2 linked regions of the Kluyveromyces lactis genome follow. Each later gene encodes a partner of the first gene's protein in a complex. Links are inferred from orthologs where the notes say so. Each region holds a gene or a part of one and is shown in the gene's direction. Other genes may lie near its edges. The genes, in order: SAS3 and PDP3.

Region 1 (18,575 bases):
GGGGATAAAGTCTGATAAGTATGTACTGCGTCTTATTCTGGGGGATTGTCATGATGCGTCTGGACAGAGTAATGTACTTCAAAATGGAGAGTTGTCAGACTCAAGACCCTGATTCTTCAGGAGTGATAATTTTACCATTTGCATTATTTCATCCGTGCTATCCACTCAAACCTACAGACCAAGCTTAAGGCTTCGTCATCACCTGTCGATACCTATATATGTAAGTATTAGTGGACTCTTCTATATGGTATGCACAACACCATCCATCATCAGGAATATCAATTTAATACCCTATTGGAAATCCTCGCATATTATTGCCTCAATTGCATATGAAAGGTGTTTCCCTTTCGAATCTTATCAGTGCCGGTACAAAATATACAACAATGGGAAATCACGCTTTCAGCTTAGTTTATTTATACTCAATAAAAACCCTACGCAGAAGCACACCTTATGTATAAATTTACAAAAACATTTCAAAAGGGATCGCCTCCCGCATTGCAGCTCTCTCATGTTCTAAAGCACAACCTTGGTTCCAACCTCGAAATGTGTCACCTCCCACCAATCTTATTCGATGTAAACCCAGTACTGGCAGCTTTTTCAAATTTTGCAGTTTCTAGGCAGAAAGAAATTTTAAGAAAAGTTTTAAAAATGAGAAAACACGATATATGTTTTTTGTTTTGCGAGAACTGAACAAAGGGGGTCGAAAGGCTGAGTCCTTAACAGCTGATATCAGAACTATCTGGAAGTAAAATTTTGCGTACAAGTATTACAAGTATTGACTTTTTACTTATATCAGTGGAAAGATTCAGTTTTTCAGGTAAATTTCCCGCTTTTATCAGGAAAAAGTGAGACATTACAATAAGCATTTGTTTCTAAAATAGACGTGTTGCACCTGCTGTTCATCGGTTTTTTAAGAGCTACGAAACGCATATCAATTTTTTTGTCGTCCCATCTAATACCTTCTTTAAGGCCTGTGCTGTGTGCATAACTTGCATTCTTACGATTTACCGTTTCCCGTTAACTGACTCTGCGGTTTTAGAACAATTTTACTCAAAGAACTATACGATTCATTTAGCTAATGTCAGACGATCAGATTCAAGATTCCAGCGTAGAGAATGAGGAGTTCTCCAACTCTTCTCCAAATTCAAATAATGTTTCTGCCAATATTGCTGAAGAACTTATCCCTACCGCTATTGTGATTAAAAACATCCCTTTTGCCATCAAGAAGGAACAACTTTTGGAAGTTATCGCCAAGATGGATCTACCACTGCCTTATGCTTTCAACTACCATTTTGATAACGGTGTGTTTAGAGGGTTGGCCTTTGCGAACTTCACTACTACGGAAGAAACTACAACGGTTGTTCAAAGCTTGAACGGCAAGGAGATCGGTGGAAGGAAATTAAGAGTGGAATACAAGAAGATGTTGCCACAAGCAGAAAGGGAGCGTATCGAACGTGAAAAGCGTGAGAAGCGAGGGCAATTGGAAGAACAACACAGATCGATGAGCAATATCTCGTTGCAATCCCTAGGTGCCACGCCTTCCTCGGCACCACCAGGTGGCCCTTCAATGGCCTCGAACAACTCCTCTTCTCAGTTGTTCAACTCATTCATGAATGCAGACTCTGCAGCTCCTGGTTCTGTCTCAATGGGCACTGTTCCTCCAAGTCCTCAACCGTCTATTCACCATCATCATTCCCAACTTTCTGCTCAAAACACTGCAGCATCTATGTCAATGCTGTCAATGCAAGGGCTTCCTCAAATGTCCGAGAGATTCTATGCTCCATTACCAGCAGCTGCCAACCTCGTGTTGCCACCTCAGCAGCTAGATTTCAATGACCCTGACACACTTGAGATTTACAGTCAGTTGCTTTTGTTCAAAGATAGAGAAAAGAGATATTACGAATTGGCTTACCCTATCGGTGTATCAGCCAATCACAAAAGGGTTATTAACGTACTATGTTCATTCTTGGGTCTTATTGAAGTCTATGATCCAAGTTTTATAATAATCAGACGTAAGAGCCTGGACCATGCCACTTTACAAACCCATCTGCAACAACAAGGCCAAATGGACATGATGCAACCTTTACAACCTTCATCAACCGGTGGTTCCATTTCCAGATCTCAATCTTACACCAGTTTACTCCAAGCACATGCATCGATGAGTCATGGAATACTTTCACAACCCAACGCTTCTAAAAACTTGGGAAACTTACAAGGCACATCTACTCAATCAGCTGGACCTGTATCTAATGCTTCTACTACAGCTACTACGGGCAGTAACTCCACTGCAAACCAACCACCATCCCCAGGTCAACCTTTAATGCAGACATCTTCCTCTCTTCATCAGGATAATGGTGCTAGTTTGAGGAACCAAGTCACAACACCATCCATAATGCAGAACAGAATACCATCTGGTTTCCAAACAAATACTCAGCAACACATGACTTCTTCTAGTCTGTTAAGGAACCAGGGTATTTCTCCCCCGCAACAACAGATTGGCATAAATCAATCTAACACTGTGCGGGTTCCTTCTTTATACCAGTCACAACCAGGCACACCAGGCATCAACGAAAACAGATTTGCGCAATTAACTTCTGCTCAATTGCAACAGCAACAATCTCAACAACAACAACAACCTCTAGCACCGCAGCATACTTCAGAGTCCATTCATTCCAACTACAGTGTTCATTCTATCCACGACTATGTTCCTGGTTCTAACAACCAAGGTTACCAATCGGGCTCTATATCAGCTAGTGGTGACATGCTGGATGATGGTTTGACCAGAAGTTTAAGTGGATTGGATCTAGGAAAGAGACATGGAACTTCGGCTACTAACAGTAATAATCTATGGAGCTGAGTTTTTCTACTGTTTTACCTGTCTCGACTTTACTTAATACACTCTCACAACTTCCGTAAACACCCTTAATGTTACCAAAGTTTAAAGCGATGACAATAATGATTACGATAATTAATATGAAGCCTCCCCCTCTAAAAAATAAAAATCACTTGACGATAACGGACGGTAATACCCAAATTATTACCACACACTATAAACTTAATACTGTTATACACATACACATTGACTCCGATCTATCTTTCGTTCCACTCCTCCCAATTTTCCTTATTACATGAACTGTTCTTAAACAACCCAAAACCTGAGTCAATTTCTTCTCGCAATCTGATTCAATGTAACTACTATCCATCCTTCACCTTCTTTCAAAAGTCGATGAGTAACGAACACTAATTAATGTACTTGTACGATCTATATAATCTTTACTAATCTATCACACACTATTTGATATGCTATTTGGCACTTGGCTAAATGTAAATACGTTTCAAACAAGAGAAGCGGATGATTTATGAGGCAAGAATAGGCACGAGTGCATTTGGCTGCTGGAGAAAAAGATAAACGCCGCCACATCGAAACATCATACAGATAACTCATCATATGGAGGAGTACCAAGGTCTGGCAGTTTCCGTTAATACGACTGAAACAATGGTGAACTGTTCGAAGCTCTCTGTGGACGAAGAAGAAAAGAAAACCAGAAAGAATTTCGGTGCATTCAAACCAAGCTATGCAAGAAATGTGGTGTTTCTAGTGGAAAAGCCAATTTTCTTTGCTGACAAAGAAACGCAGCATTTACGTGTTTACTGGCAGTTCCTGAAATACGCCCTTTTCTTTTATCACTCGAGGTGCAACTGGAAATGCAATTTCAGTTTGCCGTTCAGCAATAGGAAGATTCCATACAAATTCGTAAAAACTTTACTGAAAAAAAGAAAAAGCCTGGCTCTGATTAATAATCGCTATGAAGCTCAATAATCATGTTTCGAATGTCAAGTTCTCTGAAGAGCAAACAAGTGTCCAGTTTAACGGCGTGTATGGTTGTTCGTAATTACGTATGAGGGCGTGGCTGTACTTTGGTTTCTCCAAATGGTGGTCTAGTAGCTACATAGAAACAAATATTATCCTTACTAAAGTAACAGAACAGAACAGAATAATGATGGTTTACAAATCCAATCTTTCATATAACGAACTAAAGGAGAAAACTGGGAGCATACAGTAGTTAGTACATAGCAACACGCACACACACTCGCATATATACACTTCTCTGTCTCAACTGATCGATTGTCGAAAAAGTATAAAAGAAGCACGGTCACCACACTCTTTCAGAAAAGTTCCCTCGGACAATAATCCTCTCATCGGATCAAACTATCCATCTCTATACCAAACAAACATCAACAGGTAAAAGCAGAAACATAACCAATAGGAAAAATAAAAAGAAGCAATGTCGTACCCAGATAATTTTGAAGGTTTTGCAGTAGTCGATAGCCACAAAAAATGGTTAAGTCCAGAAAAGGTTGTATACCCTGCCAAGCAATTTAATCCAAGAGATGTTGACATTGAAATTGAGGCATGTGGTGTTTGCGGTAGTGATGTTCACTGTGCCAAGGGTAATTGGGGTGAAATGAAGTTGCCGTTGGTTGTTGGGCATGAAATCATTGGTAAAGTGGTTAGACTTGGTGATAAGTGTGATACCGGTTTGAAGGTTGGTGACCGTGTTGGTGTTGGTGCACAAGTCAGTGCTTGTTTGGACTGTAACCGTTGTAACAATGACAACGAACAATACTGTCCAAAATTCGTTACCACTTACTCTCAACCATACTTTGAAGATGGTTATGTTGGTCAAGGTGGTTACGCATCTCACATCAGAGTCCACGAACATTTCGTGATTCCAATCCCAGAATCTTTAGAAACCAACAATGTTGCACCATTGCTATGTGGTGGTGCCACTGTGTATTCTCCATTGAAGAGAAATGGATGTGGCCCAGGTAAGAAAGTCGGTATCGTTGGTATCGGAGGTATTGGTCACATGGGTATTCTATTAGCCAAAGCCATGGGTGCCGAAGTGTACGCCATCTCTAGATCCCATGCCAAGGAGGAAACATCCAAGCAATTGGGTGCAGACCATTACATTGCCACTGAAGATGAAGGTTGGGAAACCAAGTATTTCGATACATTGGATTTCATGGTTCTATGTGGTAACTCATTGTCGGCCGTTGATTTCGGCAAGCTACCAAAGATTTTGAAAGCTCAAGGTGTTATTGCATCCATTTCTGTCCCTGATCAGCATGAAGCCATACATTTACATCCAGCGCAACTTCTAGGATTCCAGATTACTCAATCTTGTCTAGCATCTCGTGCAGAAATCATTGAAATGTTGAACTTGGTGGCTGAAAAGAAGATCAAACTATGGGTTGAAACGGTTCCAATCAGTGAGGAAAATATCTCCACAGTGTTCAAAAGAATGGAAAGCGGTGATGTTCGTTTCAGATTCACACTAACTGACTTTGATAAACAGTTTGACCAATTCAAAGCCAAGAAATAGGCGTTGAACTGTATAAATTATATAGATGGTTGACACGTTGTTCATAGCTTAAGTCACTTATATATACATACTATGACATAAACGTCAAAATGGAAACACACATAAAATACAACCTACAATTTATACACATTGCAAGGAACGGCTTTCATAAACACCAGAGGACGGTAAGGGTACAGTAAAGTGCATGAAATGCAGTCACTGTAGCCAAGGTTACCTTTCCAGTAACCGAAAATTTCTCGAAGAAGAGCAACAAGATCATGGGAAATATTTGCTAACTGAGCTGGTATGAAAGATACAAAAAAATACAGATATCACGTGACCATCAAGAAACCGAAATTTTTGATGCAGCAGTAACATGGATCTGTATTGTTTTGCTTCATTTCATAGGAGAAAGAATGATATAGGCAACCGGTTTTTGTAAATGTAAGACCTAGATTGCTTGCTGTTAGTTTCGTTTACTATAACTCGGACTTTGTGAGTTCTTGTGAGAATGTGTTTTTAGAATAGACATTCTTCTCTTCTAAAACTAGTAAAGGTACTATCCTCTCTATTTGTTTACCTTATATTGAAAGAAGAAATAATAATTCATCAAGTGGCAGTCATCGCATATTTAAGAATGACGACTTCTAAGCGAAATAGACTGCTGAAGGAACTTCTGATTGATGATAATATACATTCCAAAGTACAGGCTGATTTATGGGACGCTGGAGATGGTGGAGTACGACGGAAACGCACCAGAGATAGACATGACAAGTCGTCGGATCATATAGGCTATAACGGTGCTGATGATTCTGGGGTGCAACCGGAGAAGAATAAGGACAAGAAACTTAAAACGATTGTTATACCATCTGATTGGAATGAGATGAACAGCCATGTGCAATTTTCAGACGATCGTAGAATTATTACTATCAGGTATAATCCGTTGAAGTTGCTTGATTTCAATCAAGTGTTGAACAGAGGCAGCGATCTCGACGTAAAAGTACCGTCAATTCCGCTAAATGGCATTGACTTTGAGATATATGAAACTGAAAATTTGTTAACATCTCTTGATAACGATGCTCAGTTCCCTTATCGTGGCGCAATTGAAAATAAGCAGGATTATACAACTCATAGGACCATTCCTCGTGTCAAAGATAGAGAGTTTTTTCTAACTTTGCTGCGTAAGTCCCAAACAGCAGCTCGTTTCAATGGTAACACACTCCTGGCATTTCCAAATGATGAAGCTCATAATCAAGATAAGAAACGGTTAAAGCCAACAGCTTTGATGCATTCTGCGAAGACAACCAACGTGGAATATGTTTATTTCCAAAATTATGAGATCAAAACTTGGTATAAGGCTCCCTACCCTGAAGAGTATAACAAGAACGAAATTATCTATATTTGCGACAAGTGTTTGAAATATATGAGTTCAAAGTATGTCTATTATAGGCATCAGTTGAAATGTGATTATATCCACCCGCCAGGAAACCAAATTTATAGAGATATGGACCAAGGGTTCGCCATTTGGGAAGTAGACGGAAGAGAGAACGTTATTTATTGTCAGAATTTATGTTTACTAGCGAAACTTTTTTTAAATTCGAAAACTTTGTATTATGACGTGGAACCCTTTATGTTTTACACCATAACAGTATGGGAGGACGAAGAATGGAAATTTGTTGGATATTTTTCTAAGGAAAAGCTAAACTCAACTGGTTATAACCTAAGTTGTATTCTTACTTTACCACATTTTCAAAGGCGCGGTATCGGACATCTACTGATGGACTTTTCATATCTCTTATCAAGAAGGGAATTTAAACTAGGCACTCCCGAGAAACCTTTGAGTGATCTTGGTTTGGTATCTTATCGAATATACTGGAAAAATAAGATGGTGCAAACGCTTAATATGTTATTTGAAGAACTGGGTGATTCATTCGCTTGTACCATAGACGACTTGTCCAATCTAACCGGTATGAATCATTCGGATGTGATATTCGGCCTGGAACAGATTGGATGTCTATACAAATACAACGATGAAGCCTCAGGTAAATGCAAATATGCAGTGAAAGTAGAAGATTGGGATATCTTGTGTCAGTTATTTGAACAGTCTAGAGCGAAAATGAAATATACTTTGGACCCTTCCAGATTTGTTTGGAAGCATGTCATTTTCGGTCCTTCGTGTGGAATCAATGCCGTTGGAACCATGGTAGAAACAAATGTTAGCCAGCAAAGAATTACGTCTGCCGCTGGTTCAACAGCTGCTGATCCATTCAAACAAAGTATATCTGTTCTAACGAATTTTATGAGTGACGATTTGGCGGATCCAAGAACGATGGAAGAAGCTGCAATGGAAAAGATTAAGCAACAAACTATTCCTGTATCCTTGTCTGATAAATCTTTAGTTCGAGCATATACACTTCCAAGCAATATCAAGGAAAAAATCATTAAGGCAAGCAAAATAAAACCTGAATTCAAACAACTCAATACGAAGCTCGGGGGGACTATTCCAGCTCTCAATGAAGGTACACCTTCTGGCGATGCTTCTGATGCCAAAACACTGATCAGCGGAGGTATGCACGATGATATAAATGGCGATGAGCAAGAAATTGAGGAAGAGTTTGAAGAGGCAGACGGTTTAGAAGATGAAGGTTTCTCGCTAGATGATGCAGAAGCTGAGGAGTATTCAGATGATGATGAAGATGATGATCAAGTGCCACCGCCTCCAGAGGAAATAGCGACTCCTAGGGTCAGTAGATCTCTAAGAAAACTCAGACAGCACAATCCCGTAGAAAATGAAGTTCAGCAAAGACCACAGAGAGTCTTACGGAATAGAGTTTGAATATTAATTAAAGGATAACCTAATCATAGTAATGCGTGGCCATGACATGTGTTTATGAGAAGAAAACTGATAATAGTGTAATATCTAATATATGCATGTATATATGTATATGATTGTAAGAATAGCGAAAATTAATGCCATCATTGATATAGCAGTAAAATGTAAATAACAAAACAACGTAATAGTACGCACTTTTCATTTAAGTGTTTATGCAAAAGGAGCAGCCCGTGTCCCTTTGCTATAATAAACTGAATAGGGACATTATTATGACAAAAAATAACCATATGGTACAGTTCAAATGATTTGGCATAAAGATAACACTGTAACAGTATTATTGATGTTCTATTGTAGTTATAGTACTTGTACAATGGGGTCATAATCAGGAAAGTGTGTGCGTTTATGTGATAGTAAATCAACGACAATGATGATTGAAGTAGCAGCGACTGGCGCCACGATACACTTCGGGGTTCATGTTCATACATGTCTGAAAGTGGTTTGTAAAGTAGTTTTTTAAGTTTTTGGTTCTTGATAATGGTATTAATACAGACAGTTTATCATCAAACAATGTGCTTGAATATCGTATTCAAACTAGGCAGTGGCTGAGTTGGCACTTGCGGTAGTCGATGGTTTTGTGGTGGTTGAGGAGATTGCGATGAATTCGGAGTGAACTGGGGCGTTTGTTCATTACTAGCCTGTGTTTGAAGAATTTGCTTCGGTACGCTGGCAGGCATCCTATTGCCATAAAAAGATGAGTTGTTCACATCAGAAATAGTTGGAGAATGGTCTCTCAAGGAATGAGCGTCCGGTGAAAACACTGGCGATCTCTCACGAGCGGAAGAACCAGTCGAAGATGTTTGAGAAAACGTAGGAGATTCATCTCTTAGCTGAGTTGGGGCAATAGAGTCTTCCATGCGGCCAACAATCTCTACATCAACATCAACATCGTCAATGTCGTCATGCTCCTCTACGGCAGTATCTGGTGAGTAAGTAGAGTGGACCTCATCTGAAGAACTCGATTGATTAACATTGGCGGAAGGACTAGCAGTACTAACTGCATCGCTAGGCGTTATATGTAACGAATCCATTCTCCATTGGATCTCTTGTTCTGATCTATGAGGTAACAAGATTGAAAGCTCATCAATGGACAAGTGGTACCTTTGACGTTTTTCTACCAACAACTTATCCTCATCGCCAGACCAAGGTTTTGCAAAGCCATTGAATGATCCAACGGCACATACGGATGAAGGAGGGGGTTGAGAGCTTTGTTTTATGGGCATATCAATGAAACCTGCTTGCATAGACTCACGTCTAAACTGAGAGACAGAGTTCCTTCTAGACATAGATGGATTCGTCGTGAAGCTTTCTCTCCTTGGATTCGCGGAAGATGCGGGCAAAGTTGATGAAGGCATGACAACAACGGAAGATCTTCTAGAAGATCCGTTAGAAGACATTGGGATGAAATGCCTGTCGGATGCTACGTTGAAAGAGGAACGTCTGGAGCGCGAGGAGAAGGAATTTTTCCTTGATTTCGTACTGGCCAGGTTTGGCAAGTTCGATTGTGGAGTGTTATTCACAACGACCGCGGAACCACGTCTACTCTTGATGAAGACTTTTGGAATAAAACCAAAATTTTCCTCTTGATCATTGAAATGGGGCATATTTGGTGGGGCGTCCTGTGAATGAGAGGAAGACCTGGGCTTTATAAATTTCCCATGAGGAGCAGGAGAAGCAGTAGAGAACGGAGACTTGGACAACGATCCGGAATGTGCAAGTCCGTTTACCGATAGGACACTAGATCCAGCTGTAGCAGCAGATGACGAAAAAACACCCATGTTGCTATTGTTATTATTAGTAGCACTCCCACTACCATTCAACCCATGAGGTGACGAAAGAACGGCACTATTGGTAACTTTTGAGGTCGGAATTGGCATGGGCATGGGCATCGGTCCCGTAGAACTAGACTTCTTTGCCGTATTCTTCTTCGCCGTCGAAGAGGACCCAGTGTTTAAAGATTCCGCGCTCAACGTAGGTCCTGCAGAAACAGCCATTGGAGCAAGTACTGGAACAGTCACATTTAACAACTCATCCTCCTCCTCATCCTCCTCCTCTGGCGACTTCACCGTCTTTAAACTGCCAGATTTTAACCTTCTCCACCGAAATTGGCACGCGTTAGGAGTTCTATTCGTAAAATACTGAGCAATATCCTTCCATCCCAGTCTTTTCACCTCTTTCAAGTGTCGCAACAAGACATCGTCCTGAGGTTCCCACGAACTCGGAGTCCTACTGGAAACGTTTTTTGGTGCAGTCATCTACCCTTTCACTTAAAAATATTGTGAGTTATAATTGTAAAGTATCAGCAACCAAAACAAAATCCACTATTTAGAGCAGTAAAACCAAAATTCAGCTCAAAAATTTTCGAAATGTAATCAAAACGACAGTAACAGCTTTCTAATAGCTCTAATTCTCTAGCTCAAAGACCTGTTCTCATTAACACAACGAGAGGGAATAAAAATTTTGAACGGTCCAAAATAAAACCGACAGTAGTTTATGAACGATTTTTCTTTTTAAACAACAAAAAATCGCCTTAAATTCCTTCCAAAATCGGCTAACAATAAACTAACGTATTGACAGTTATGCTCTGAGTCGATATCACTGAGGTCAGACTGAGTACTGAACCAATAAAGACAGGTTTCTGCCTAGGAAACAAAGAGTGTCAAGTTAAATGACAAGACTCGATGAGGTCGAGTTTAGTGGCTTTTTCTTCGTCGCGATGAGTTGGAAAAAAAAAAAATTTCGAATTTTTTCAGTGTGACAGCGATGAGATGAGGTGACAGGTGAGATGAGAAGAGATGAGATGTGATGTGAGTATACTGAGTGAGGGTCCTGTATCTTACCGTTCACGTGTCTTTTTTTGTTTTTTTCGTCTGTGTACTTCTTGCAAATGGGGTTCCCCGGTTGGTTTGGGACTGGTGCGTTAGTCTACGCCTTCGGAAAGCTATTGCAGTAGTGTGTAGAATGTGTCAAAATAAGCTTATGGGAGGTAGGGGGATGCACTCCGGGAGGTGATAAGTGCGTTGGTAGGCCATTGGATAGGCTTCGGAAGATACCCATTACACGATATTTTTGGACATCGTGTGGCATGTACGGTCTGTGAATGTTTCCATGCGGACTTGAGTCACAGAGTGGAGCTTAACCTTACATCCGGGTAACACTCGAAAATTCTGTACAAGCCATCTCACGATGCGCAAGAGGATATGCAACTCATCCCACTTCAGAACGATAAAAGGACTTCCTGTTTGTTTGGCATATTTTCGGTTCATTATGGCCATTGTATATCACTGTGAAACAGCTTCTACACTGTATATGTCCAGAGCACTTCAGAAGATGACAGGTTTGAAACAGATAAGGTACTTTGACATTGGGTTCAATATCTCTGATCACATGTTCAAAGGGAAATACCATGGCAAGAAGCAGCACGAGACGGATTTATCCAATATATTGAACCGTTGTAGATTGACTAATGTGGATAAGCTGCTGATTACCGGATCTTCACTGGAAGAATCGAGACATTCCATTAAGCTTTGTAGTGAATTTGCAACTGAAAATGGACCAAAGATGATGTACACCATCGGGGTGCATCCGTGTCAGGTTAACGAATTCATGCCCAAACACTCAAAATCGTACCGGAAATCAGATTCAAGCGAGGATCTTCCGTTTGCAATTGAAAACCATCAGTTTACCAAAGCTAGATTGCACGAATTGTATGATTTGTGGAAACTCCAAGCAATGACCGATAACGAGCATTTCAGGGCCATTGGTGAAATTGGGTTGGATTATGATAGATTCCATTTCTCGGGACTGGAAATCCAAAAGTTCTTCTTCCTGGAACAATTGAAGTTAAGTTGCTTCTTCCCTGATAAACCGTTGTTCTTACACATGAGAAGCTGTGCTGATGATTTCTTGCACATCTTGAAATTATTCATCAATGGTTTCAACGATGATAAGGATTTATTTGGCTATAAATCGTGGATCGATCCAAGCGTACCAGATTCACCAATATTGAATACAGACGGCTCTGTAACTTATAAGTTCAGTGCTGCGAGGAAATTTGTCGTTCACTCTTTCACAGGATCAGTACAAGATATGGAAATATTACTGGATTGCTCCCAAAATTGCTATTTCAGCGTCAACGGCTGTTCAATGAGATCTGAGGAGAGCATTGAAATGATTAAATCACTTCCTGTTGATAAATTACTACTGGAAACAGACGCACCATGGTGCGACGTGAGAAGGACACATGCTTCATACAGATTTTTGAATCAAGATGCAGATCCCAAAATCGAAAATTGTTGGGATCATGGATTATCTGCTGCATACCCCACACTAGACCAATGGTTCAAATCTGTCAAGAAAGAGAAACTTCAAACAATCCCACGCGAACAATGGGATCTGTATATGGTGAAGTCTAGAAATGAGCCTTGTACAATGGGGCATGTGGCGACAGCAGTTGCTAATATCAAACAAATTCCATTGATCGATCTAGTTGACCAAGTATGGCATACTTCTTGTCTTGTTTACGAAGATTGAACTTGTCGCCTTCACACTCTATACTTCAAGGTTTCATCGAACCTATATTCAATAGAAAATTAAAGCGTGATTTATTAATGATAAAAAAGTAGAATATACATAGAGAAAAGTGAGGTTGAAAATAGCTGATAGAGATCTGAATTGCAACTGTCAAAGTTTTTACATGATATTCTGTTCTATCTTAGTCATTAGAGTTTGTCATGTTGTTTAGATTGTTGAGATATCGTTGTATTATTATTTTTTTTTACTTTAATGAAATATGAAAGGTTTTGCTGTATAACTCGTTGCCCTTCCAGGGGTCCCAGAATTATGTCGTAAGGCTGTATTTCTAATTGTAACAGTAATGGCACAACTTAGTGAATAATTGATTAGAATTCAAAATTGGATCGAATATATATTATCGGAATATATCAGGAGAATACGAGAAATAGAAAGGAAAAGATGATGAAAAGATAAAGATGAACAACATTGGATGCAAACACGTTAAAGTTGATAGTGTGTAATATTTTTGCAAGGAATAGTACCTGCACAGTGATTACAACTGCTCGCTTCCGTCTTGCCCTTTGTATCGAGAGTGGAAAATAAAAAAAATAAACGCACAAAGAATGAAATAATTAAAAAATGCAAATACGAGTTCAATCTTTTTTCACTTCAGATTCTTCAACTTCATCAGCATGAGTTGGTTCGTCTGCTTCATCTTCTTCATCGTCTTCATCTTCTTCTTCAATTTGTGACCTTATTCCACCACTTAACGACGCCAAAACTTCCGATAATGCAGTACCATGGATGTAAGATAAGTTGTTCTCGCCAGGCGTTATCTGAATTCCACCGGAACCAAGTATGGCCTCTAGGTTAGCGAGGCTAGATGCGCCTCTGTCAGCACCAACTTTTCTATCATCATTGTAATCAGTTTCATCAGATTCTCTCTTGTTTGTTACTTCAAAGACATGATCGTCATTTTCTGGGAAATCATAGAAATGGAACACAGCTCTTCTTTGGTTCTCGAAGGAGTTTGGTGGAGTGTAATTCTTTGCTACGATACGTTTATGCCAAGCAGTTTCGTCTTCGTCTTCTTTCAACAACGCTACAATGATAATACTCATGTTATCACAACCGATACCCGTTCCTTCAGTGGTTGGAGAACAACAAACGTCGATAATCTTGGAACTTATTTCTTCTAGAGTTAATCCTTGTTTTAACCCGTAATGCACCAAATCAACACAGTCCTGGGATGTTAGACAATCCCAGATACCGTCACATGCCAGTATAACAAATTCATCACTGTTGTAATCTATGGTGTGTTCAATCAAATCTGGTACACAGGTAACAATCTGTTCATGGGGAGCCAAATCTGGGTTGGATTTGAATTCAAAATCACCGATGGCACGAGACAAGGCCAAATTACCATTAACACGGTCCATTTCCACGAACCCATCAGCAGTGACGATTCTGGAATATTCAGACTTCAACGTAGGTTTATGATCGTACGATAACGCCTTAGCAATATGGTTTCTTGAAAGAACAGTTCTTGAATCCCCAGAGTTAGCACAAATCATTACATTTTGTAATTTAGAGATTAATAAAGTCGTTGCAGTGCATCCACTATGGTCGTTCGCTAACACGGGATCCTTCAAAAGCTCTTCATCTGTCGCAATAAAAGATTGAATAAGAGCCTCGTTGTAAGACTTCTTCTTGAAAGCATCCTGTTTTTGTAAAATCTTGGAGAACTGTGATCCACAGAACTGAGCAACGCTTGAACCACCATGTCCGTCAAACACACAGTAGTACGCCAAATGCTCCTTCTCATCATCAGAAATGTTCAAATCAACAATGTGAGAATCTTCCATAGACATACGCCATCCTTGCATAGCACATAACCCAAAAGCAGTCAAAACATCACTACCAGAATGTTGTTCCTTATCAATTACAGGATTAGACAAAATTTGACCCATTGTTTCTATTAAAAAAAGGCTTGTTATTAGTCTCTTCGTCCGTCCTTTCAACCAATAAAAAGGATGTGTCGACTGTATTGAAATTCTTGGAGAAACAAACTTCAATTAAACAGTACAGCAGCTTATTGTACCACCTTCTTCCAACCAATTGCTATCTTGATCCGCTGATATCTTTGAGGTGGCGAAATAAACAACTCTTCCTTTTAATATTTTCGTTTCAAAACAACAAAATTGCCGAAAACTTGTGACAAAGGTTTCACCAAATTCAACATCTGAGCAATGGAAAGAAGTGATATAGCAGGGACCCTACGGCTTTCATCTGGATTTGGGGGGACTTATCCAATCCATACTATCTGTGGACTGCTAAACAGCTTGAAATTGGGATTTCTAGCTGATCTTTGGCAATATTAGGACACAGTGTGCTGTATCTAGCGTTGGAATCACCAGATGTCCATCACGTGACTTCGTTCTCTCGGTTGTAGTCTCAATTACATAAAGCTTGTTCTTTCCCTTATAAGGACGGTTATTGCATCAGTGACTAAGTAGCTCGGTCATATGTATGTACTATTGAAGCATTGGAATTGACAGCTAACACCTGTCTGTGTACCATTTATCGTGTCTCTTTCACTTCATTATGACTCAATTTCATAGTATCCAGACTTTGGACATTGAAAAATTTAACAAGATGAGTTAAATGACTTGTCTATAAAACAGTGAGCATTGTGAAATATTTGGAGCAACCCACCATTGCAGTCCTAGATTTGAGTATATCTGGTTGTTATATTTAGGTAAAGAAGTGATTAGAGATATTCTTACAGAAATATACACTAAAAATGGCTTCTGATCATATTACTATTCAGCCATCAATTGAGGTGATTAAAGAATGCATCGCTGCTAATGATGATTCCATCAATATGTACCCAGTATACCACTTCATGCCAGCAATGGACCTTACACCTCATGTGGCGTATTTGAAAATGAGTGAGTTGAACAATAAGGAGAGGTCACCATCTTTTCTATTTGAATCCGCAAACGGTAACCAATTGAGTCGATACTCGTTTTTTGGTCATAGTCCACGTAAGATTATCAAGACTGGTCCTACTGAAGGTCAAGCGTGTGACCCATTGAATATTCTACAAGACGAATTGGCTCAGTATCGATTGGCTGAAAATGTTCCAGGCTTACCCAAGCTTTCTGGTGGTGCTATTGGTTATGTTTCTTACGACTGTGTTCAGTATTTTGAACCAAAGACGAAGAGACCATTGAAAGATGTGCTACAAGTACCAGAATCTGCTTTGATGCTATACGATACCATTGTTGCATTTGATCATGTTTTCCAAAGGTTCCAGATCATAACTAATATCAATGTGAAGACGGTCTCATCTTTGGAACAAGGTTACGAAGATGCATCTGAGATTATCAAACGCATTATCGCCATCTTGAAGGATGAATCTAGTCCGATACCATTACCTGAACAACCATCAATCAAATTGAACCAGACTTTCACATCAAACATTGGTCAAGAAGGATACGAACAGCACGTGAGAGATTTGAAAGAACATATCAAGAAGGGTGATATCATCCAATGTGTTCCATCTCAACGTGTCGCTAGACCAACTTCACTTCACCCATTCAATATCTACAAACACTTGCGTACTGTGAATCCCTCGCCATACTTATTCTATATCGATTATTTGGATTTCCAAATCATTGGTGCTTCACCTGAATTGTTATGCCAAGTTGATGCCAAAAACGAAGTTATCACTCATCCCATTGCTGGTACAGTCAGAAGGGGTCAGACTCCAGAAGAAGATGACAGATTAGCGGAAGAGTTGAGAAATTCTACTAAGGACAGAGCAGAACATGTGATGTTAGTTGATCTAGCCCGTAATGATGTGAACAGGGTCTGTGATCCAACCACCACTTCCGTGGATGAGTTACTTTCAGTGCAAAAGTTCTCTCACGTCCAACATCTTGTCTCTCAAGTCAGTGGTACACTAAGGAAGGATCAAAACAGATTTGATGCTCTAAGGTCTATTTTCCCTGCAGGAACAGTTTCTGGTGCTCCTAAGGTCAAGGCCATGGAATTGATCGGAGAACTGGAAGGTGAAAAACGGGGTGTTTACGCTGGTGCCGTTGGACACTGGTCATATGACGGAAAATCCATGGACACATGCATTGCCTTGAGAACAATGGTTTATAAAGACGGTATAGCCTATTTGCAAGCTGGTGGTGGTATCATATTTGATTCTGACCCATATGATGAGTACGTAGAAACAATGAACAAAATGAAAGCTAACCACAATACTATTCTACAAGCAGAGCAAATTTGGGCTGAGAAAGTTGGCACTCAAGACTAGCGCTGTATATGTCATATCCACTAATAGTTGAACCTGAACCTTTCCCGTTTCGTTCACAGTATGTATTCTATCGTGTATTCACATTAGACTTGTTATAGAATTGTAAAAAGGTAGCTTTAAGTGTACCATGGATGCACATATGAATGGATTAATGCCACTGGATAAATATACGAAAGGTAGGAGTAGGAATCTGGTGGTCTAAAGTACCAGCAGACGTCCTACTTCATACGTTTCTATCCAGCAGTTGCATATAATCTTTTCTTTAGGAAAATTTTACATTAAACCGATATATTCCAAGTGATGACAAGGAGATCACTGGCAGAGCATATTAAAGCAGAGGAAACTGACACTATCACTACAGCTACATCAAACCATAACTGCTATCCAGATGGCACCATCATCGTTGAATTTAGCAGTGTTGTTCACGCTGTCAGCATTATCTCTGACAACTGGATATTATCTTGGACAGATAACACCATCAAGGAAGGATGAGATACAAGAATTGTTGAAACAAGCGAAGATTAAGGCTGAGCGAGATGAGCAAGCGTATGCCAGTGAACATGACGATGGTGATGAGGACGAGGATGAAGACGAATCTGAGGATGAAGATGAAGATGAAGATGGCATTGCAGTAGATTCCATATGCCTAAATGACATTCCTGGTGAAGTAAGGATGGCCTTGGTTATCAGGCAAGATTTGGGAATGACTAAAGGGAAAATCGCTGCTCAATGTTGTCATGCTGCATTAGCCTGTTTTAGGCTTATTGCGTGTGATCCAAGTAGAACTTCATATAATCCGGAGATGACTCACAGATGGTTGGCAAGAGGTCAAGCAAAGATTACTTTAAAATGTCCAGATAAGGAAACAATGGATGAGCTCTTCGCTAAGGCTATTGCATTAGGAGTTAACTCATACGTTGTTCATGATGCTGGTAGAACACAAATTGCAGCGGGAAGTGCTACTGTTTTAGGTTTGGGACCTGCTCCGAAAGCAGTCCTTGACCAAATTACTGGTGATCTCAAGCTTTACTGATACTTCGATCTCTCAAATCGTTGGAATAATCATCGACTGCATAAACAACTCTATCCTGAAAATATAAGGATTTAGGTTGTCTCCGTATATTTAAACTTGTACATATGTAATAATCTTTGTAAAATTATACTATATTTAAGATTTATACCCATCTTTGGACCACCACTGCATTGCATAGGTCTTGATCTTTCAAAGTGGAGTCAAATTCGTCAATGGGTTTTACGGGAAATGCATGGCTTAGTGTAAATGGGCGCATTTCTGCTGTGTTAGCTTTAACATGCTGGTACAAGAATCTGATGGTATCTGTAGAGTTACAACGTAACACCTCCCTCTTCCCAGAAGCATATCTGATCTGTACACTAGTGTCTCCCTTTAGCTCGTCATCTGGCGATTTTTCTTTGATTTCAGTCCCTACTGGAGTAGATTCGGCAGGCGATGCTG
Region 2 (14,085 bases), on another chromosome or scaffold:
TTAAGAAGAAACCTTCTGTTAAACCGAAACCAAAGAATTTGAAATATAACGATGATGATTATGAAAAAGCGGAAGATTTGTTGAGGGGTTCATACAAGAGTAATTCACAGTACGATACAGAGACAGATAGGCCAGTATCTAGTCTAGCTTATAAGTCGGCATACAACTACGATAAGACTTTTTCACCAAAGAAGAATGGTGATTCAAGCGTTTCGGCTCGTGACCGAGATGACAACAATGGTCATTATGAAAATTTGGGAAACGGTACTCGTAGGATCTCAAAGTTCGACGATGTTTATAGGGACAGAGAGCACTCACAGGGTGAGTTTGTGGTGTCAAAAGAGGACTATGAGATGCTGATGAGTATGAAAGGCGGTCAATCTGTCTCGAGACCTGATAATTTTCCTTCGAGAGGTTCTGCCCGTAATTTGTCTGGAAATGAAGAAGATTTCGATGTCAGGGTCCAAAAAAATTCCGGAAAAAACCCGAAACCAAAACCGAAACCAAAACCAAACCCTAAAGTGATTAACGGAACTCTGAATGAGCCTGAACGTCCTGGACGTTACCGCGGCTATGATCGTCACTCGGACGTGGACATCAGCGACGATGATGGCACTGAATTCAATGGTAACAAACCGTTGTCAGTGAGAATTGGAGGTGACTCCGATAAAAAGAAAAAGAAGAGTGCAAAGAATGGGAAGGTCAAAAAATCGTTTGAAGATGAATCCGATGACGAGATCGATTTAAACGAATCCGGACCTGTCTTCTCTTCCAGGAATTTCAAGGATCACGATGATATCGCCGAAACGGTTGCTGCACAAAGAAAGGCGAAAAAGGCAGTTCCGCCTCCACCAAAGAAAAGAAATTCTAGCAAGGACTCTAGCAAGGACTCTAGCAAGGCTTCTACCGCCAAGTACAACATCATCGACACTGATCCAGTGGACGAATTCTCCGAGGTTTTCCAAAAAATTAGATTGTCTCAGGGTACCACCGACGAAGAGTCCAAATGCAACGGTAAAAAGAACGGTAAAGTTGCACCAAAGAAACCTGCAAAAAAATCTGAACTTAGAAACCCTAAAGTGAGATCATCAAGACCTTCGTTACCATCTGATGACGATGCTTACAACAGCAATGATGATGACGATGACGAATATGACGAACAAAACGAATTTTTCGCTGTAAGAAAATCGCTACGTAAGACCCACACAGCACCATCTCGTCGTGATATCACTCCAGAAGCAGTTAAAGCCAAGTCTAAACTGAACAAACCTCCTTCTTCTATCAGTTCTGTAGAAGAAATACCTGAAGCGATGGCAAAGAGGCAAGCTCTTTTGAGATCCTCAACGGAATCGGAAATTGAAAAGAAATCCTCTTCATCATTAAAGAGCCTACAAAAGCATGGCTCAAAGTTCCAAAAGCAACTGATTAAAACAATCAACAGTAGTCAGGCCTCTCTATCGGCATTGGCGTCGTCAACTGCATCATCTGCAAACTCATCATCTGACGCATTGAATGCGAAGACAAAGAAAATGCTAACAAAGGTACGTTCTAAGGGTCCAAAACGTAAGCTCCCAACAGACGTCACTAAATTGTAAATACCTCCTTATTCATATTAACTCGAACCACAAACTAGTTGCACAATCCGGCAAAAACGCATTCGTCAACTGCTAATGTGCGTTCATTGATCTTGTAAAGTTACCCTTCTAAATACGTATGCCTTTAATTCCTAATTACTTATTCCATTTTCCGACCTTAAAGCTTTTTTTTTATCCAAAACAAAACAATCAATTATTTCAAATTATATTCAATATATGCTTCTTGAGCAGTTGATATGGAATTTTGATTGCCGAAGTTCCCATTCATATTTCGTCCAAACAGTCTTTCACTGGTCAGAACACACGCAGCTATTACTGTGGTGTTGTGTGTGAGAAAAGTGATTACTGGTAGCTTAAGAGTTTTGTTTTCGTTTTCATCTCAGTTCATTTAGGGAAGGAGGTCAAGTTAATTCTGTTATACGGCCTCTTCTTTCCTTTGCTATTTGTGTTGCCAGTGCGAAGTTAGAGCGTAAGATTTTAAAGCTTCTATTCTAGCGTTTAGCATTCTTTCTGTCGAAACCGTTATTTGTGTTTACCTATTGAGTGCTCAAGAAACTGAGAAAGAGAGATATCAGAGTTTACTATTTGATCTTTACGCCCTGACATTTAGGGTTTTAGTTTCCTTTCCATTATACTTACAGATTTTACCAATCCGAATACACAATCTATTTAAGCAAAATATGACAGACGGGCTTTTAGTTACTGGTGACCTGGTTCTTTGCACCGTGGGCAGTTACGAACCATGGCCAGCTGTAGTTGTTCCTCAACGGATATTGAGTAAGAGTGTGCTGAAGGCGAAGGAGAACGTTGGTCAAGTTGCTGTGGCATTTTTTAACGATTCTACCTATTATTGGACTAAACCAAAACAGTTAAAACTTCTTACTGAGGAAAATATAGAAGCGTGGATAAAATCGCCGCCCAAAAGGTCTTCGAAAGAGTTGAAGAAAGCTTACCAGTTTGCATCCGACTATACGAGTTTGCAAGAGTTTGTCGAAGACAGGTTGACAGCGGAGGGAAGAGCGGATGATTTGGAAACTATCGCTGAAGTTAAGATGGGAGAGGACCCATTACTTTCCAATATTGAGTTAAAACTGGAAGACACTAAATCTACGGATAAAAGACGGGGCAGAAGAAGAAATGAAAGCGAATCAGAGGATTCTACCTCCAATAATAACAGTAACGGAAGTACCAAAGCTAAAAAGTCGCCCAGTAGTGGAAACAAAAATAGAGACTCACCGGTATCTACACCTGTCGCAACATCTGTTTCAGATTTCAAGAAGAAGAGGGAAAGCTCATCAGAATCTCTCTCGACATCTCCTTCATTCGTACCAGAAGAACCTCCCAAGAAACGCAGTAAGCTTGACTACTCACGTAGGGTAGAGATTGCTCAAATATTCCGTAACAAATTACAGAAGTGTTTGGTTCAACGAGATACCCCACCAACAGATGCAGATCTTGCCGAGTCTGATAAACTCATGAGGAAAATCCTATCACATACTAAATCAACACCGGAATTCTTTGATTTAGAAGCCCTTAGGGTATCCAAATTGCATAAACTATTAAAAGTCATTTCTAGTATGCCTGAATTATCACAGTTTCACGAATCTTGTAACACTATATTGGAAGTGTGGGCACCTCATGTTCAAAAGATCAAAAAGGAAAAACTGAAACTGAAGGGTTCGCTATCCCCATAGAGTGGATCACAACTGTCACTTTTAATATCTTCGATTCATAATAAGAGCACAAAAGAACCGTTCAAAAGGAAAGCACAAACAATGCATTACTGCTTTATAACAAATTCAATTCAATTCTGACATTATTCTCATGTAAAATCTATCACATTAACCTACATAATCTCATCCCTACCACCTCTCCAGTTACCTCACCGTACCTATTCCTTCTTTTCTTGGACCCTTCAATCATAATGTATCATTATTTACGTTTATCGCTCTGTTCCCCATCAATTGTTATTATTAACAAAATTGCCAAAACCTTTAAAATGACTTTAAGGTAGCAAAATTGTGCACTTCATTACAAACATCAGACATCTTTCCCATAAGCTAGCACATTAGGGAACCGATATTTTAATTATATTTCCTGTAAATTTTTATTGTTTATCAAATACGCCAAGTATTACTTCAATAACTTTCAAGTTGTTATGTCCACTACCGTTGATTTGCCAGAGCATTTAGTATCTTTGCTTAAAACATCCAAATATGTTCATTTAGCCACAGCTTCTAAAGACTGCATTCCTAATGTTTCATTGATGAACTACACATATGTGCTTCCTCATAAAGCCTTTCATGAAGAAGGCTCCAATAGTCATTATGTTATCTTTGCCACATCAAAGTCTACTCAAAAGTATAAGAATATTATTGCTAACCCATCTGTATCTCTTTTGATCCATGACTGGGTCACAGCAAAAAAACTATCTCTGAGGAAAACAAGTGTATCCAATACTCCAGTGCCAGATTCTAATGATTCTGAAGAACAACCAAGTAGGTTGCTCAACCTTTTGCAAGAGTTGAATCAATCTGAACTATCACAAATGTCAGCCACGCTATCAGGTACAGCGACAGTTATTGATCCATCATCTGAAGAATCCGACTACTATGAAAAGCAACTACTAAGAGTGAATCCAGATGCTAATTGTTATATCAAAGGTGATGACAACGTGATCATCAAGGTTAAGATATTGGATGCAAAGATATCTGATAGCGAAAACAGAACAAGCTACTATACCTGAAGGATTATTAATCAGGGTTATTTCGTGTTCTAATGCTAAAATCAGCTAGGATTATGACTCAGTTACGTTCTATGTATATGATTATTTATCTATATTGCCCATGAAAGCATTTTGAAACATCATTACTATTATCTTTTAATTGCTGCTGGAATTCGAACTAATTTCCCTCTTGACCAAAGTCTTTGGTGAACTCTTCCTGTTTGTGTATATCTTCTTCATTAACTGTTGGTCTTGACGTTTGTATAGCCTTTAGGAAATCTTTTACAGTTAAATCAGGCTCCTGAAGTTCATCAGCATCAATATCTGTCCATGACATTTCAATGGCTTCTGGATCGCCTGGCGAACATGGTGTTAGCTTCCGTACGTCTGGATCATCCGACGAATTCTTGAAATGTGTTGCCATTTGAATCTTTCTGACAGGTTCCATTAATGCGTCCTTGACAACCACGGCAATATCGGATCCTGAATAACCATCTGTCATCTCCCCTAGAGATCTGTAATCTTCTTTTGTTAATTTACATGGTGTATCACCAACGTTCAACTCAAACATTTTTGTTCTGCTCGCAAGGTCAGGTAGGGGAATATATATTCTTCTCTCAAATCTTCTTCTAATAGCACTATCCAACTGCCATGGGATATTAGTTGCTCCTAGAACTAAGACTCCACTGGAATCATTACCTACACCATTCATTTGAACCAAAAGTTCTGTTTTTATTCTTCTGCTTGCTTCACTCTCTCCCTCTCCTCTTTGCCCGGTCAATGCATCGACTTCATCGATAAAAATGATGGACGGCTTGTTCTCTCTTGCCATGGCAAATAGTTGTTTGACCAATCTTTCTGACTCACCCATCCATTTCGAAACCAAGTCACTGGAACTTATGCTGAAAAAGGTAGAGTTGGCTTCTGTGGCAACAGCTTTCGCTAAATAGGATTTACCAGTACCTGGTGGACCATATAACAAGATTCCAGTCGTAGGCTTACGTTTACCCTTAAAAAGATGTGGGAATTTCACTGGAAGAATCACAGCTTCCTTCAATGCTTCTTTAGCACCTTCTAAACCAGCGATATCCTCCCATTTAACGTTAGGCTTTTCTGTCAAGATCGCCCCTGATAAGGCTCCTCTTAGCTTTTTATCGTCTGCATCGTCCTCTGTATTGGAATTGCCACCTGAACCAGAAGCAGTGGCTGCCTTTTTTGGCTTTTCTTGTTTCTTCTGTTGTTCTGTTTCCAAATGCTCCTTTAATTGTTCTGCACGATTCAGATACTCAGTGAATTTTGCTCGAATTAAGTCCTTAGATTTGGGGTTCTTCTCATACTTTAATGCTAGCATCAAATAGTCTAATCCATTGTAATATGCGGTGTAAGCCTCGTCATATTGCGTAGCTGTGTCTAAATCAATGGCTTTTTGTATTAAATCAATTCCCTTTGTTAAAAAATCACCGGTGCTCATATCAATGTAAGTGCTGTGAGTAGTGAACACTAAATTGTAATCTTGAAGCCGTTCTACAATTTGAATGGCTATGGTATTTCGAAATCACTATGGAGCAGGAACAGAGGGGTAAACTGAGTCACGTATCAGTCGACACACATTTAAGGCAGTACGTATCTCTATTATAATAGGCTTTTTGCAATTACTTGGGAACATCAACATAAGAAAATGTATTTGACTATGCTTTATCAAATCACGTGATTAATTACAATGTCTAATGAAATGTTCATCTACAGCACTCTTCGGATACTAGCAGTCGTGATCCTAGATTGCTTATGAGAGAGATGCCCCAGTCATATAATAGAAGAGTCTCACACTAAATATCTTTTTGCCATTAACGTTAAATAAAATAGTATATTTGTATCGAGGAAGTACTAATTCTATTTAATTATTCTGTACATATTTATAAGATTTTATAACAGAGACATTAGTAGAGTGATCTTATTTTTTATCAACGTGTTGTTCGTGGATCTTGGCGTATCTACCGGAAGGATCTTCAGCACAACCCCAGTCAGCCTTTGGAATCCATCTCATGACAGTGGAAGCAGCGGTCTTTTGTGGGAACAAAGCATCGAACTTCAATCTGTACCAGTAGGCTTCCTTGGTAGTTGGAATATCGTCACCCCATTCAGCCTTTGGTTGAGCGAATTGTTCATCAGAGATAGTGCTTTCAGCTGCATCCTTTAGACCATCAATCCAAGAGTAACCGACACCGTCGGAGAATTGTTCCTTTTGTCTCCACAAGATTTCTTCTGGTAAGTATGGTTTCAAATCTGGTTCATCCGTGGTATCGAATGCCTTTCTTAGAATGTATTTTTCGATCTTACCTTCAGCTGGTTTGATCATCTTGTCGTTTGGATCAATGTTCATACATAGTTGTAGGAAGTCCCTGTCCAAGAATGGAACACGAGCTTCTAGACCCCAAGCCATGGTAGATTTGTTAGCACGCAAACAATCAGCCAAGTGCAAGTTCTTAACTCTCTTGACAGATTCGACGTGGAATTCAGCAGCTGATGGAGCTTGTGCGAAGTATAGATAACCACCAAAGATTTCATCGGAACCTTCACCGGACAAAACCATCTTAACACCTTGAGCCTTGATCTTACGAGAAAGCAAGAACATTGGGGTGGAAGCACGGATAGTAGTGACATCGTAAGTTTCTAAGTGGTAGATAACATCGTCCAAAGCGTCTAGACCTTCCTGTAAAGTGAAAGTATGTTCGTGATGGATAGAACCGATGAATGTAGCCACCTTACGAGCAGCTTGTAAATCTGGAGCGTTTGGCAAACCAACAGCGAATGAGTGCAATCTAGACCAGCCAGCAGCATGTAGATGACCTTGTTCGTCAAGCCCAGCCAATTGATGTGGGTCACTGTCATAAACAACTGGATCAAGTTCGGCATTAGTTTTTTCTGTTTCTCTTGCGGCAATAGCAGCAATCAAAGAGGAATCCAAACCACCGGACAATAGAACACCGTAAGGAACTTCAGCCATTAATCTCTTTCTAACAGCCTTTTCCAAACTTTCTCTAACAGCCTTAAAGTCAACTGGGGTGGTTGGAATTCTGGATTCGTCCAACCAGTCAGGAGTGAAATATCTGGTCAATTTGTCAGTTTCAGAGTCGTATACGTGACCTGGTGGGAAAGCAATGATTTCATCACAGTCATCGGTCAAACATTTCAGTTCACTGGAGAACCAAACAGACTTTGGAGAAGCAGAGGATCTACCCATGTAAAGAGTGGTAATACCGATTGGGTCTCTGGCAGCGATGATACGATCCTTCTTAGAATCGTACAAACACCAAGCGAACATACCATCCAAGTGTTTTGGAGCATCGATATCGTACTTTTCGTATAATGGAATGATAGGTTCACAGTCAGACAAAGTCTTGAATGGATAGCTTGCACATTCTTCTCTCAACATGATATGGTTGTAAATTTCACCATTGACGGCCAAAGTGTAAGAACCATCTTCGGAAGTGATTGGTTGGGCACCAGAGTCCAATCCGACAATAGCCAATCTTTCGTGAACTAGAATAGTAGAGTTCTTAACAATGTTACCTGACCAATCTGGACCACGGTGTCTGATTCTCTTGGATAATTGTAAAGCTTTTGGTTTGTAAGCCTGAACATCAGGGTTTCTGAATGAAGCAAATATACCACACATCTTGGGTCCTGTTACTTCGTTATTCTGTATATCTAATTGATAAGAGCGAGTAAAAAACCAATACTAATACAAAACAAAGATCCTAACATAAACATATAAACAATTCTTATTACAAGCGAGCATTAGTTTTCTTGTGATGAGCATCAATTCTTTATACTTTTTCCAAAATTTTTCACCAGAGCTTGAATCGCCGTATTCTTTTTTCTTTCGAGATATTGAAAATGACTCAGTATCAATTGCATATCAAAAGAATATGACAAAGCAGCAGAGAAACGAAAAGTAACGAAGTGAAAATGAAAATTGGTGCCAGATTCTAACTCTGATTCATAGTTGATTCATTTGTTCCCGCTCCGACTTGTCATATTCACGATACCATCGTATCACGGCATTTTTTTCTATCTAATATTTACGTTTACGTTTACAGTTAGTTTAGTTTTTGAAATGAATCGCACAAGGCGATTCATATTAGCAAGAAGCAAGACTCAAACACACAAACTCACATCAAGTCTATACATGGGATGACCTTCCCAAAAAGAATCAGAATTTTATAAAAAGTGTCCCAAATCATTCAAAGAATGTAACAAGATTATAAGGCTTGCGAGGGCACCACATTCTCCATTAAAACCATGAACAGAAAATAATTCCCATCCACGAAAGAATTGTAAGAATTAAAAAAGCGCAAATAGTATCATCGTCTTCTTTTAAAACTTGGAAGGTCATGTGGATTTAAGCCCAAAAAGAGTAATACAAGTAAAGCCTATCAAAGTTACATCTCTTCTACATCACCAATTGTGTCTTGTAATTTCTTGGTTCATAAATCTTTCTCTTATATATGATGAAATTCGGGCTAGATCATTTTATACTAATCGTTGAAATTTGTATGCTGTTAGGGCTCATAGGCTGCCGTGAACTGGAGGATACGCACCCCCTGAAGGAACGAGCATCAGTGTGCGTATTCAAGGTGATGCAGGCAAGACTTGACTGACAACAGAATGGTTTACCACTCTAAATTATATATTTAATGTCGCCATTGATAGCTAGTTTATTAGGAAATGCGATCACGTGATAAGAATAATTTCTTTTCAATTGTCTTCTACATTGCAAGAATCTCTGAAAAATTTGGAATCAAGAGATGAGATGAGATGAGATGAGATGAGATGAAGTCGAATAGGAAACGTTAAGGTAGGATATTCTCACCGTTATAATCTGTTTGATTACTCGCAATAAATAATTGGAATTCACATATAAAAGTTTCCCAAGGATTCAGACAGCGATTAACCAAGATGCTCTCGAAGGAAGAGATTAAGCAAGTTTGGAAGTCTATTAGCACCGGCAATGATAGAAAACATTACAACTCGTTGGTGAACCTAATCCATGGGTACAATGAACTTCTAAAGGAAAACGAATTGTTGCACAATTTGGAAGATGATTACCGTTATATGACCATTGCTTTGAGTCAGATTTTCATCAAACTTTTTGAGCGTGGTCAATTGATGCCTCATCTTGCATCCAATGCCAATGAAAAGAAATTCTTTGAATGGTGTAAGAAACTATATTTAAATTATAAGGTTAAGTTATTGGCTATCATTACATCTTTGCATGAAGTTAACTCGTTGAGTTTAGATTGTTTGGACTCATATATGAAAATGCTTCACCATGAATCGATATATTGGGCTTCGAAACCAAATAGTCCTTTCTTTCCAAATAAGACTTTAAGATCGTTACTAGTGGCTCTTTTCCATTGTAACTTTGAAGGTGATATCGGTTTCAAAGATGGTCAGAGCGAGAATCCCGTGTTTAATCTATTTGTGGAAGCCTATTATAAGAAGAATTTCGATATTCAATTCTACACACAATCAGAACTGATATCGTTGTTACCAGAACTTGATGGCCAAACATCTGACGAAATTTTGATGTCTAAATGGTTGGCTTTATGCAACAACGATGTTCAGGGATCACCAGACTTGGAAATATTCGTATCTGTGCCCCCACAAGCCATCGAGAATGATGCTAAGTTTAAATCCAACCTCGAAACAAATTGGTTGCACTGTCTAAATTTAGCCAACTTATCCAGTAGCCAATATAAAACTGTGCTTTTAGTGCTACACAAGAGAATTATAGTATGGTTCCATCAACCAACAAAGCTTATGGATTTCCTTACCGACTCTTACAACCAAGGTGGTATCGTTTCAATCCTTTCATTAAATGGTTTGTTTGAACTTATGAAAAAATACAACCTAGAATATCCAAATTTCTACTCAAAACTATATCAGCTTCTAACTCCAGAAGTAATGCACGTTAAGTACAGATCAAGATTTTTCAGATTAGTGGACACCTTTCTATCTTCTACACATTTATCCGCACAACTGGTAGCGTCATTCATCAAACGTTTGGCACGTTTATCCGTATCGGCACCACCAGGTGCTATTGTTTCTATAATACCATTCGTGTACAATCTAATCAGAAAGCATCCTACATGTATGATTCTATTACACGATCCAGAATACATCGACTGCGATTCAAAGAAAAGGCAAGAATATCTAGATCCATTCAACAATGAAGAAACCAATCCAGAACTTACAAATGCTCTTTCCTCCTCAGTATGGGAGCTAGAAACGCTAATGAATCACTACCATCCAAACGTAGCCACTTTAGCGAAGATTTTCCAACAACCTTTCCAAAAGTTAAGCTACAACATCGAAGATTTCTTAGATTGGTCTTACGATTCACTTTTGCAAGCAGAAACCAATAGAAAGCTGAAGATCCAACCTGCTCTTGAATTCGAAAGGTTTGAAACAATTTTCGAATCAGGTTCTGATTCAGCATTCCTACCCTTCATAAAATGGTAAATACATAATTTCAAGTAGAAAACTTAAGTAGTTCAATTCCAAATTGAGTACTTTCTTTCACTTTCGCAAATCTCTTCACATTACATCTCATCACATCGCCGTAATATTGAAACATCGAGATGAAAAAAATCAACAAGTCAACATCAAGAAGAGAAAGACTCACATCAGAAAAAACTTTAAAATGGGCTCCGTTTATCGGTCTTGAGGACTTAAAGGCACATACCATACCAGTTGGCTGCTTTTTTACCACTACTATTGAATAAATGACTGAGGAAGTGAAAGCCTGTAATCCAGAGAAAGCCTTAGAGCTGAAGAATGAAGGTAACAAGTTCGTGAAGGAGAAACTGTACGCAAAGGCAGCTGAGTATTATACAAAAGCCATCGAGCATGATCCCGAGAATACGATCCTATATTCAAACCGTGCGTTCACCAACCTAAAGTTGGATAACTTCCAAAGTTCTTTAGACGATGCTAAACGTGCAATTGAATTGGATAATAACAATTTGAAAGCCTATCACCGCAGAGCTATGTCTTACATTGGGCTACTAGAGTTTAGAAAGGCAAGGAAGGACTTGATCATTGTGTTGAAATTCAAGCCTAACGAGCTCACTGCAAAAAATGCATTAGCAATCTGTGATAAAGTCATACAGAAGGAGAATTTTGAAAAAGCTATTAGCGGTGGAGACTCTTCTAAAGTTGATTTATGTCAAACTTTAAATATCAGCTCATTCGATGCAAATGCCGATCTCCTCAAATATGATGGTAAAACCTTGGAATTCGAACAAGTGAAGTCAGATTCTGGGGCCAATGCTGGTGTCAGAGTTAACAATATGAACCAGGAATTCATTTCTTATATGATTAATGAGATTTTCCTAGAAGGTAAAAAGCTTCCAAAGGCTTACGTTGCAGCGATCATTTCTCATGCAGACTATTTGTTCAAGCAAGAAAACAGTGTTGTTGAACTTGATAACAGAGAAAAGCCGGATACAAGAATTTCTGTATGTGGTGACACGCATGGTCAATTTTATGATGTTCTGAACATCTTCAAAAGTTATGGGAAAGTAGGCGGCTCCAATGTATATTTATTCAATGGTGATTTCGTAGACCGTGGATCATGGTCTTGTGAAGTGGCCATTTTATTCTATTCTTTGAAAATCGTGTATCCACAGAACATTTACTTGAACAGAGGTAATCATGAAACCAACAGCATGAATAAAGTGTACGGGTTTGAAGACGAATGCAAATACAAGTACTCCCAGCGCATTTTCGATCTTTTCTCACAAAGCTTCGAATCTCTACCATTAGCCACTGTCATCAATAGTTCATACCTGGTCGTGCATGGTGGTTTGCCAAGTGATACTTCTGCCACTGTAGAAGATATGAAGAAAATTGATAGATTCCACCAACCACCAAGAGAGGGAACATTTATGGAGTTATTATGGGCGGATCCACAGGCTCCGGATGGATTTGGACCATCTCCTCGTGGCTTAAGTAATGCGTTTGGGCCTGACATTACTAGAAAGTTCTTGAAACAGAATAATTTAAAGCGAATCTTCAGGTCTCATGAAGTTAGACAAGGCGGTTACGAATTTGAGCATGAGAATCAATTGGTCACTGTTTTCAGTGCTCCTAACTACTGTGACGCCGGTGGCAACCTCGGTGCAATCATTCATGTTGTTCCAAACACAAAATCTGAAAAGAAATCATCTATCGACAGCGACTTGGTAATAGAAACTTTCTCTGCTTCACCACATCCAGATATTAAACCAATGGCATATTCAAATGGAGGGTTAGGATTTTGATCCCTCATCTGACCTGATCTGATCTTTTTTCGATAAAGTTGTAATTAATAATATTATTAGTCTATTATACAGTCTTTGGGATTACCTATATATGTACATAGTTTTGCGCTTTAATAAATGCAGATGATTCCCTCTATCATATAGAACTTCCTCTTTTCAACTGTCACCAGCAGTTTTCACCAAATCAAAGAACTTCTCCTTGGAAACCTCCGTTATCAACTCTTTTCTCTCTGAACGGTTCTTCACACCACCCAATGAGTCATTGATTTCCTTTTCAGTCTTAACCTGAGTAGAGAGAATTGCATTGAATAACTTCACAACACCTTTCTGGGCAATCTTTCTTAGTTTACGTTCCTTCTCAAGAATTTCTCTAATTTCATCCGAGTTTGCGTCTGCAGCCACAACAGGTATAATATCTTTCTTTCTAGTCTTATTGAGTAGTTGTTTCTTCTCTGTGAGTATAGCTCTCTTAGCCTTTTGCTCTAACTTATCTGCTTCATTTTGCTTTAAAACTTTCTTATTCCTAGCCATAATGGGATCTTTACGGTCGTATGCTTTCAAATGCGATGATAAAATATTGGTTAACGCGCTGGAAAATGTGGATGATCCATCATCGTGTTTGGATTTGGAAGACTTCTTCTTTCTTGGGAAGTCATCGTCATCTGGTTGGTTCACCACATCTTCATCGTCACTGTCTTCATCACTGGCGTCATCACTCGACACTTCATTTAGATCCATTTCATCGTTATCTATTTCGGAACCTGTACTGCCTTCAGAATCCACATCAGAATCTACTTCATCAGCCAATTGTGATACTTCATTCTCTTTGACTTTCGTTTGAGCCCTGATCTTTGCAGACTTGTCATTCAACTTGCTCTTTTTGGTGACAGGTATTGTCACTTTACCCTTGCTACTCATAGTATTTTCAGGCGGCTATACAATACAAAGCTGTCCACTGCACAATCTACCGGCAAGTTAACCTTCTATTGAGATAGTGTGAATTCAATGATGGATCCTAAAGGCCCAGATACAGTCTTGAAAGCGATGAGATGAGTTGTGCTTCACTGAAATTTTTTTTGGCATGTTCACTAACAAAAAGAAATACATTCTATCAACACACCCATACACCACTGCAAATTTGACGTTGGTGGAGCCGCCGTCATAAGAAACTTGAAGCTGAACTCTCTTACTAGCCTGTGGTTCCCCGACTGTTGGGTTTATTGGAGTGTGGTGTATCTGTAATGGTTCCTCTACTTGTTCAAGCTACCCAAAGAAGGTTTGTTGTGTACTGAAGCCGGTTCAGTTTCGAAATATGTCACATATACTAGTAAAGATGTAAACAAATAATAAGATCAACCGAAAACAAAACAATCTTGAAACACCAAAGGAGACATAGCAATTGAAGAACGTATATAAACCAGTACCGCTTTGGAAAAGA

Evidence for each region.
Region 2: SAS3 (region 1) and PDP3 share a complex: the UniProt entries of both Saccharomyces cerevisiae proteins name them as parts of the nuA3 histone acetyltransferase (HAT) complex. The link is inferred for Kluyveromyces lactis from reciprocal best matches to the Saccharomyces cerevisiae genes SAS3 and PDP3.

Annotation. Positions count from the first base shown.
Region 1 is NC_006041.1:1,765,775-1,784,349, forward strand, and holds SAS3 (histone acetyltransferase), read left to right. Parts: upstream 1-6,003; coding exon 6,004-8,202; downstream 8,203-18,575. Other genes in the region: PIN4 (Pin4p), read left to right, coding at 1,079-2,857; KLLA0_E19867g (uncharacterized protein), read left to right, coding at 3,449-3,820; KLLA0_E19889g (NAD(P)-dependent alcohol dehydrogenase), read left to right, coding at 4,287-5,387; KLLA0_E19933g (SANT/Myb-like DNA-binding domain-containing protein), read right to left, coding at 8,760-10,511; KLLA0_E19955g (3'-5'-exodeoxyribonuclease), read left to right, coding at 11,443-12,789; KLLA0_E19977g (PP2C family serine/threonine-protein phosphatase), read right to left, coding at 13,425-14,741; anthranilate synthase TRP2, read left to right, coding at 15,575-17,101; PTH2 (aminoacyl-tRNA hydrolase), read left to right, coding at 17,490-18,134; protein phosphatase regulator SHP1, read right to left, coding at 18,277-18,575. UniProt on the Saccharomyces cerevisiae protein: Catalytic component of the NuA3 histone acetyltransferase complex, that acetylates H3K14. The NuA3 HAT complex has 2 functionally distinct forms.
Region 2 is NC_006038.1:944,840-958,924, forward strand, and holds PDP3 (Pdp3p), read left to right. Parts: upstream 1-2,275; coding exon 2,276-3,289; downstream 3,290-14,085. Other genes in the region: BSP1 (Bsp1p), read left to right, coding at 1-1,595; KLLA0_B10824g (pyridoxal 5'-phosphate synthase), read left to right, coding at 3,754-4,341; AAA family ATPase VPS4, read right to left, coding at 4,499-5,791; ASN1 (asparagine synthase (glutamine-hydrolyzing) 1), read right to left, coding at 6,272-7,996; ribosome biosynthesis protein NOC4, read left to right, coding at 9,280-10,845; PPT1 (protein serine/threonine phosphatase), read left to right, coding at 11,109-12,647; rRNA-processing protein RRP15, read right to left, coding at 12,804-13,565. UniProt on the Saccharomyces cerevisiae protein: Histone-binding component of the NuA3b histone acetyltransferase complex. Targets the NuA3b HAT complex via histone H3K36me3 to the coding regions of actively transcribed genes to coordinate transcription elongation.